Nothobranchius furzeri: one gene and its partner. The protein of the gene in region 2 purifies or fractionates together with the protein of the main gene of each other region. This does not show direct contact. Links are inferred from orthologs where the notes say so. Each region holds a gene or a part of one and is shown on either strand. Other genes may lie near its edges.

What was found. The genes of interacting proteins can lie anywhere in the genome.
Region 1: the proteins of card11 (region 2) and malt1 purify together in Homo sapiens (affinity purification with western blotting; 6 studies listed by BioGRID and IntAct, with this or other methods). This does not show direct contact. The link is inferred for Nothobranchius furzeri from reciprocal best matches to the Homo sapiens genes CARD11 and MALT1.

What each region holds. Positions count from the first base shown.
Region 1 is NC_091757.1:57,800,064-57,805,156, forward strand, and holds the start of malt1 (mucosa-associated lymphoid tissue lymphoma translocation protein 1), read right to left. Parts: upstream 3,207-5,093; 5' UTR 3,070-3,206; coding exon 2,921-3,069; intron 2,540-2,920; coding exon 2,373-2,539; intron 2,108-2,372; coding exon 1,986-2,107; intron 928-1,985; exon of another isoform or gene 838-927; intron 758-837; exon of another isoform or gene 626-757; intron 1-625. UniProt on the Homo sapiens protein: Protease that enhances BCL10-induced activation: acts via formation of CBM complexes that channel adaptive and innate immune signaling downstream of CARD domain-containing proteins (CARD9, CARD11 and CARD14) to activate NF-kappa-B and MAP kinase p38 pathways which stimulate expression of genes encoding pro-inflammatory cytokines and chemokines.
Region 2 is NC_091752.1:65,221,907-65,226,334, reverse strand, and holds part of card11 (caspase recruitment domain-containing protein 11), read left to right. Parts: intron 1-279; exon of another isoform or gene 280-368; intron 369-2,128; exon of another isoform or gene 2,129-2,311; 5' UTR 2,312-2,321; coding exon 2,322-2,511; intron 2,512-3,268; coding exon 3,269-3,406; intron 3,407-3,595; coding exon 3,596-3,772; intron 3,773-4,428. UniProt on the Homo sapiens protein: Adapter protein that plays a key role in adaptive immune response by transducing the activation of NF-kappa-B downstream of T-cell receptor (TCR) and B-cell receptor (BCR) engagement.

The DNA of each region.
Region 1 (5,093 bases), on a different chromosome or scaffold from region 2:
ACGCACGCACGCACGCACGCACACCCACACGCACACACACGCACACACACACGCACGCACGCACACACACACACACTGTTTTACTCTCTTTTATTTTCACTTCCCGTTTGGAAGTTTCTTAAAGTGGGATTTTACGCTCGTCATCAATCCTGAGAACATCTTGTAGTAACGAGCCACAAGGACACCATCTGGTCCCGTTTCTTTAGTTGAAGCTATACAAATATGATGTAACACACTTTCACATTCAAAAATGAATGTTAGTACCTAACATGTAGTTTACACAGATATTCAGAACGTGTCCGAAGTCTTTATAAACGTGTTCCTCAGGTTGTGTCTGGATTTGCTGAAACTTTTAGAAACATGACGTTGTTCTGCAGTAGGCAACGTTTTTACACCTCCACTCTCCTCACCTTTAAGGCACAACACGTAGAAAGAAGAAGAAACTACTTTTCATGTAAACACCTCTCAAGATTAAAGTCACGAGGTGCATGAATGTAGCCAAAAGTCTAAAGAGAAATATTCAAATAGGCTCTAAAACCCTGAAGAACGGCTGATAACCACTTTTGAAATACTACAAGAAAGTCTAACCTATGGAAAAGATTGATTTTTGTAAACAGAGCAAATGTAAAGTTCACTTATTTATTATTATGAGCAGCATGAAGAAAACGATGTTGGTGAGGGTGAGAAGCCGTCTGCTTCCAGGCCCTTTTTCTGGAATGCCGTTGCCCTGCTCCGGTGTGCCTGACTTCCTGGTTCTCTTCACACGACACACTTTAATCAAATTATTGAGCAGAAAATCTTTTTTAAAGTTTATATCAAACTGAGTCATTTTCTCACCACAGCAACTGCAGACAAAAACAATCTGACAAGGAGAAAAGCCACCAGATTATCGTGCAGCTTAATCCTAATCTAAACTAATTACTGGCATGGTCTCGGTAAAGGAAGAGGGGAAAGTGAAAGGAAAAGCTCCTGCCTCAGACAAGCACGCATGGATTTGTCCTAAAGCTGCAGAAGACGGGCATCCCAAGTCCAGACAGGTTTACTGTTTGTGTTTCTCTTAAAAGCTGATGAGACGGCACAGTTATGGGAATGTGTGTTTGGTGGTAAAAGCTGCAGATAAAATGTTTAAGAAAATGTAAAAAGATAATAATGTTTGAAAGAAAAAGACCAGAAACGCAGCATAAAGAGGATACAGGGTGTCAAAACTCTTAAAGAAAAGGGCTAAAATGATCAAGTTAAAAGTCTCTGAGGGCCATAAATATGTGATTTTGTTTATAATTAAAAATGTTAAAAATGTCGACCTTCGTCAGCAGCCTGCTGGAGTCAAAATTCCAGAGAACAAAATCAATCAGAGGGCCGCAGACGGCCCCCGGGCCACACTTTGGACATGGCTGATCTAAACAAATACAGTTTTTATGGTGCAAGCATCAACTGTAGATCAGATATTAGTTATTAATCTGATGCATCTAGCAACATATGACAAACTTATGAAAAAGCTAGTCAGACGTAGCTATTATTATTATTTTTTTTTTTTATCCATTTGTTTTCATGCAGCAACGGACAAATATTCATTTAGAAGAGGCTCCAAACAATCTGCAGCATGTTTCTGTTTCCCTACCAGCTGTCTTTGTTTAAGAAGCTCTCAGATGAAAAGTTTTCCTCCTAAATAACCAAAAAATGTACATTTTGTAGAATCACCCAACCATCTTAAAGCTCTGCACATGAGAATGACATCTTGTCACCATCATTCCAGAAAATGCAGCACAGGTTTCCCAGGATATCCTAGCATGCAAACAGTGTATTTCTGTATTACTCCTATTGAAAACCCTAAATTAGACTTGTCCTGCAACACCATATAAAAAACAGTTTTGCTCTAGAAATGCACGGCGTGTGTTTCAGGGCAGCCGATCATCAGCTGACGCTCATGACATTCTCCCAGTTTGAGTCTGAAGATTGTTGTTTGTGTTCTTTCCAAAAACACTCACCTCTTCTCTTGATTTAAACCACCGGTACTGAAGTGGAGATCTTCCCACGGCGTAGCAGCTCAGGCGCAGATTATGGCCACATATGAGAGCAACAGACTGAGGCTGAACGAGGATCTGCAGTACTGTAAAAGGTTGAAACAAACGTTTGATTATAGAGCATCCTGCTTGTTTTTCTCACAATACTTTCATGTGTTGCTGCATTTTCCATCCCAGAAAGATCACCTCGTTTAAGAATATATGCAGTTAGAAAAACCTAAACTGAACATCGCTCTACAGAGCGGCACCTTTTATAAACATGTGTGGCGTGTTGGTGGGACAAACCATGAGCCATGTAGAAGTCAAATAACCTAAAAGCTTGATATTAGGCTGGTGTGGGGTTTCCTGTACCTGGTGGCTTCAGGCACTGCAGAGCCTCTGAGTTGCTCAGAGTTTGGAGGTAGTCCATCAGGTGACCCGTGGTGCATCCTCGCTCTCCCATCAGCCTCAGCAGCATCAGGCTTGGGCTTCCTTCCACCTCCAGAACCCTGAGAGAACACATCTCCATGTCGTCCGAGCTGGAGGATGATGCAGGAAAAGATGCACAATCTTAATGATGTGTCACACTGACTGTTAAACGGATTAGTTCTAATAAAACTAATTTCAAAAACACAAAACGATTAGTTTAGGTGGAATTTGGAATAAAAACACTTTTTAATTAAAAAAAACGTGTATTTTCTAATAGAATACCCAATTTTAGTTCAAATGCACACTCATGTATGGCAAAAAACTGCTGCAAAACACTAAAGTACACACCCTAAACATTTATTTAAGAAACAGCTGATAATTAGGCTCATCGCCTCTATCCAGTAAACATTAATACCTTTTAACTGAATTAATTTATAATAACCTAATAACTTCAGTCTCTTGAAGAGATCCTAACAACTGAATCAACCTACCTTACTTTAAATCTTTTGTCACTGCCAACAATCTCTCCTAACTTTCGCCATCCGTTATTGTTTGATTTATCCAAAACCTCACAAAGTTTCTTCACCACCGACTCTTTCAGTGAGCTGATCTTCGTGGACCTGTCCAGGGAGTCCGCCATGGCAGCCAGCTACAGAGCTGTACACACCGGAGCTACACTTCACTGCAGTCAAGCCTCGATCAATAAACGAAGAAAAACATGAATAAAGTTACACATCAGGTTTGAACTTCCTGGAAGACGTACGAGTGAGCAAAGCACGCCCGTGTTGGATTTCCCCTTGCCAGCTGAAGGTTGTTTCGGACAAGATAGTTGTAGCATTATGTCGACAGGTTGATGTGAATTTTAGCCAACTGCACCTTATTTTAAACGTTTTTACAGCGTTTTTCAGTACAAAGGGCATTTTCCCAAATTTCTACATGTGTTCTCATGTGTACTAGCCACAATATTTGTTAGTTTGAGAAAAGCAGGGCGACGCATCTTTGTTAGCTGCTAATGCTAGCTAGCAAAATATGATAAATAGCAAAAAGTAAAGGTTTTAAATTTGAACGAAAATCCAATTTTTACAAATTTCATACTTTTACGTTATTGTGTCAGACATAATGTTAGAAAAGTTCTTACAAAACATAGTATAAATACTTAAGAATTGTAAAAATGCTTTTAATTTGTCTAGAAGAGGACTATCTTGTACTAGAGCTATCTTGTTTCTTGTGAACTCTTTGGCTGCATGAAGCTCACACGGTGCATTCTCTACCTGCTGTTTAACACAACACCTCTCCCACTCGATCAGAGATGTTCAGGATGTGAAGAAATAAACACTTTAATGGAAGAGACGGCATCCACCCCTCTTTGGATGGAGCAGCTCTTCTGTCTAGGAACATGGCCAATTTTATTAGTCCAGGATCCAGACCAGGACGTAGTTTAACACACCCCTCTGCAGCTTCTGTTACTGTTACCCATAGATATGTATATAAACACATCTATGCTGTTACCCACCCACAATCAAACAGATGAAAAATCAGGCTTAATAGAGCAAATCGTGGGAATCTAAAAAATTAGAACAAATTCGACTGAGCAGAAAACTAGAAAATTTAAATGTGGTTTATTGAACAGTAGATCTGTTTTTTCAAAGACTTTGTTAGTGAATGACTTGAGTTGTGATAATCAGATCACTTTGCTCTCTCTCTCAGAATCCTGGCTGCAGCAAGACGACTTTTAGTATAAATGAGTCTAATTATTTAAATCGTCTCATTGCTCAAAGTACAGGGCGAGGAGAAGTAGCAACCATTTTTCATTCGGACCTATTAATCAACCTTTTACCAATTAATAGTTACAGTTCTTTTAAACATCATATTCTTAGTTTTCCTAATCCAGATTACAAAACTCTAAAACTACTTTTGTTTGTAGTTTTATATTGTCCGCCAGGCCCTAACTCTGTTTTTGGATCAGATGTCAGATTTTTTTTTTATATCTGATTTGGTGCTAAATACTGATAAGGTCATTGTAGTGGGGGATTTTAACATTCATGTGGACATTGAAAATGATAGCCTCAATGTAGCCTTTAGTAATATCTTAGACTCAACTGGTTTTACTCACACATAGCTCCACCCACTCCTGCCAACATGCATTAGACCGTGTGCTGACTTATGGTGTGTGAGAAAATAACAGTAATTCCACACAATTCAATCCTGTTGGACCACTTTTTGATAACCTTTGAGTTTATTATAACTTAGTTCTCTAGACATGAAAGTAAATTTCACTATAGTCTATCTCTATCTGACATCGCTGGAAATTTCAATAAACAGTCCAAACTGAAACGTAACATGCTCAACTTGAAGTATCTGAACCATAATAGAGGGATTTACATTTCAATGGTGGTGGAAACAAAACCCATTGCACACTGCTGCCAACTAGCGGTCGGCATTTGAATTACACCAAAAGAAAAGAAAATACACTAATGTTTGCATGTAAATTCTTCCAAAAACTAGTGTTTATTTTGCAGATGTTAATAGATGTTAGTAAACATAAAAATAGTGTGTGTGTGTGTGTGTGTGTGTGTGTGTGTGTGTGTGTGTGTGTGTGTGTGTGTGTGTGTGTGTGTGTGTGCGCTCTGTCTTCTCCATCCCCAGTGAGTCGTGGTGGATGGC
Region 2 (4,428 bases):
AGGCGCAGTAGAGGTCGTATTTTCTGAGAATCCTGAATAAGAACCACCTTCCCACAAATCTGCTGCTTGCCATCTACCGTTGTTCCGGAGAGAGTACACTGACAAACGGACTGTGTGTGTATGGAATGGCAGCTGTACTTCCTTGGAAAAGAAAGCACTCCACAGGACCATCAGCGCAGCAGAGAGAACAATTGGCTGCACCCTTCCTACTCTGAAAGACATCTACACCCCCCCGTTGCTGCAGGAGAGGAACAGACATCTCAGAGGATCCATTACAGCCCGGGCAGTGCTCCCATCTGAGAGAAGATACAGAGCCGTCTTAGGATCAGCTTCTGAATAACCAACGCAGATGGGAACACTGACCACAGGTCAGCTGCACAGAGCTTTTATAAAATATGTGCAATCTGTATATACCTGCAGACTTTTTATTCTGGTTTTATCCCTTTTTTGATTTCATTGGTTTTATGCTTGTGAGTCAACCGCACCTTCGTTTGCAGTGCACCTGGAAAAAGTGACAATGACAATAAAGATGTGTCTTATCTTATCTTATGTGCCGTAGCTGATGCAACCATAAAGTATGTTCTCTACCAGAACATCCAGAACATCTGACCATGTGACCTTTGACCTTAAACAGGCCATTCATGCTGGAAGAGCTGCCAGTGTGGCTGAATTACAACAACTCTGTAAGAGACAAACATCTCCACAGTGATGTGAAAGACTCCTCATTAGTTATCAATCAATCACTCAATAAGATTTTATGTAGAAAGCGCTTCTCAAGCAAACTGCCACTCAAAGTGCTTTACAACATGACCCCAAATTCCCATAACAGTTTATAAGCATTAACAGATATATGCACACACACACACACACACACACACACACACACACACACACACACACACACACACACACTTTTTCTTTGTTCTTGTGCTATAAATAAGTGTTCAACTGGCTATCTTTGTAAATGCATTTTTTTGTGCTCAAAGGACTTTAACAGTGCGTATTTTAGAAAATATGACATCACACAAAAACTACAAAGTGAGCAAAAATATTTTTATGCTTATTTGTGTGTCACGTTGCGAGTCAGGAGGAGGTTTGGACCCAAAATGCAGACACCCAGAACAACATGAGGCAGGAGTGGATGTAAATGAAAACATTCCTTTATTAGGAAGTAGAACAAAAAATTCCAAAAGGGCAGGAAGCCAAAAATCAATGTCCTGAAACCCTGGAGAATGAAAGCTCACATAGAGCACAAAAGCTAGAGACAAGGAACAAAACAACGCTGACAACAATGGACTGACCAAACACTGTTACACAGACAGGGTTTTATACCTTGGGGAGGATGAGAGGGAGATGAACTGCAGGTGTGTGGGGAGAGAGAGACCAGGTGAACTGAGTTACTAATCAGGGAGGAAACTAACATGACCTAAGAATAAAACCTAAAGACAAGAAGAGTAGGAAACATAATCTAAGGGGGGAGAAAAACCTCAAACACCGATGGGAAAAACACACTAAAGAGACTAATAACATGAACAGCTGTAGCTAAAGGAAAATGACCTAAGGGAAAACCCTAAAGACCAGAAGGGCAGCAAACATAACTAATATTCTAAGGGGGAAGCTGAAACTACAGGAAAACACTACAGAAAGAAAAACTACAGGGACGTGACTAAAGGGGGCCAAGGGAGCACAGGACCTGGGAGGGGGATGCCTGAGGAGGGAAACCTAGAGGGCTGAAGATCTGGGGGCAAATGGGGAAAACCAGGAGACACAAGAGGAAGACGCAGACAAGGACACATGAGGGCGCTAGGAGACACAAAAGGTGAACCTAGTGAGGGACGGAGAACACAAGGAGACACATGAGGGGAGACGCAGACGCAGACCATGACATTGTGACACTCCAAGGCTGTGACAACTTACCCACAAAAAAGATCATCTGGACATAACACACCAAAAATGATTAGATTTTTTTTTACAGTTTTCAAAGTTCTAGTTATGATAATAAACCTGGCAATAAAGGGGTTAAATCTGAGGAACACACATATTTTATTATATTTTGTTAGGGCTGAAGCCAAGGATGAAATTCAAAAAAACTGGGACGTATGAAATATTAAATACTATTTCTATGGGAAGCTTTGTAGGTGCATTTTTTTGTGCTCAAAGGACATTAACGTTAGGAAATGAAAAGAAACGGCAAGGGTTAGTGAGAACTTCCTCAGCATGAGTGAAAAACCAGTAAACATGAAGCACCTGTGCAGCATTAGCATGCAACGACAATTCTGCTGAATGAATCGGTGGCTTTACCAACTCTCAGGTTGTGTGGGATGGAGAATGAGACGGTGGAGGACATGGATGTGCTGTGGGACAGAGTGGAGTGTAAGCGCTACGAGCTGTGTCGCGTCATCACCCCAGCCAAGCTTACCCCCTACCTCCGTCAGTGCAAAGTCCTGGATGAACAGGATGAGGATGAGATTCTCAACTCCCTGCTGCTCCACACCAAAGCAAACCGCACAAGTGAGCAGAAATCTCCATTTTCCTGCATTAAAACAAGCTGTGTTAACACTGGTTTGATTTTAACTTATTTCAACTACTTCTGCCATTAAATTAAAGACAAAGTTCACTGAGAAACAGATTGAAAATAGAAAAAAAAAACTGCTCGGCTTTGAAAACCCAGGCTAATTCATGTCATACTGACTATTAGCAATCATGGACTCACCCATCATAGCTTGCGACGGGGAAGACTGTGTCGATTTCCTGCCAAGGAGAGGGCAGAGTGTGTTATGGCTAATAGAAGCTAACCGTTAGCATTAGCAACTCCACAACATGGCAGAAATCATTCAGGTTTGTGTTGTTTGTGGAGATAAAACATCAGTGTTGCAGTAAACGGAGTCGGTGGTAGCGTCAGTAGCCAATCAGAAGCGAGGTGTCAGAATATCAGGAAACAACACATCAGCGTTGCGTGTTTTAGCTCAGAAAGAAGAGCGAACAAAGGCGGTGGAAGAGTTGTACATCTGTTAGCCAATCAGAGGCGAGATGTCAGAATATCGGGATATATGTCTCCAAACCCTACCGTCGTCTGCTCACCTCTCCTCTAGCTCACTTCTACTTCCTGAAACAGGAGTGTGAGAGCTTTTCCCCACAGAGATCGATTCACGGGACGTTAATTTATACTTGAGACTGCTGCAAATGTGTTGAAAAACAAGTGAACTTGGTCTTTAACTCGATGTGTTCCTGTGCTGAATATAAAGTGCACTAATCAAACTTGCACCAGGCCGTCTACTTGACATCCTTCGCACTAAAGAAGAGCGTGGCTATGTGGCTTTCTTGGAGAGTCTGGAGTTTTACTACCCTGAGATGTACAAGGTGGTGACTGGGAAAGAGCCCACAAGATGCTTCTCCACCATCGTAGGTAAGGCCCACACACTTTTGGGTTGACAGAGCAATCTAAGAGCATGTAACAGATCAAACCAGTTGCAGCGTGTGTTGGCGGTGCCTCGCCGGTAATGGTTGGGGTCAGATTTCTAGCTTTAAGAAGTGCATTTCTCACAAACTGTGATGCACCCATGTTCTCCTTCTGTTTCCTGTTTCTTCTAATCAGTGGAGGAGGGTCAAGAGGGTCTGACCCAGTTTCTGATGAGTGAGGTGATGAAACTGCAGCAGCACACCAAAGTCAAGACCCTTCAGAACGCCGAACTCAGCAGGAAGACCCGCACGTTGGAAGACGAGCGCAAGAAGCTCTCCTTGGCTAATCAGGAGCTTCAAGCCTTCCAGCAAAGTAAGATATTTGCTTTCATTCTAGCCGTGATTCCTGACTGATGTTTTTTTCCTGGTTGGGACATTTTATTACAGTAAATGCAAGAAACAAAACAAACAACAACAACAACAAAAAAAACACCATTTCAAACCACGACCCCACCAGACAGGCCAGGCTTATCCCTCCTCATGCATCACAGTTGAGTTAAAAATAATTTTAATCACAAAATGCAACTGATGAAACTAAGATACTGTTGTGGTTATGAATCCATCCTGTTCTGTTTATCTCTGCAGACGATAAAACAACTAAGCTGTAAATAAGGAGAATGGTTTTGGCTCAGTGGACCTTTCACATAGTCGTCATGCAAATGACAAAACTGGTAATTTCTTTTAGTTGATCAAAAAACTAATTAAGGAGTTGCAGGAACTCCGAGTATCATAGAACGGGAAACAAACGTCCTCATAGGCATTGCTGATTTCCAGAATTCTCTGTTTAGTTCCTGTGGGATTAAAAATGAGACAACTCTGTAGGTGTTGGCCACCAAATTGTTACTGAAATTACTAAAAAGAGAATCTAACATTCTGAGCATGCATAAAAAGGCAAGAAAGTACAATAAATTGGGAAAACGGAAGACTTAATAAAGATGAGAGAGTTGTCAGCCGTCTCGGACTTCATTC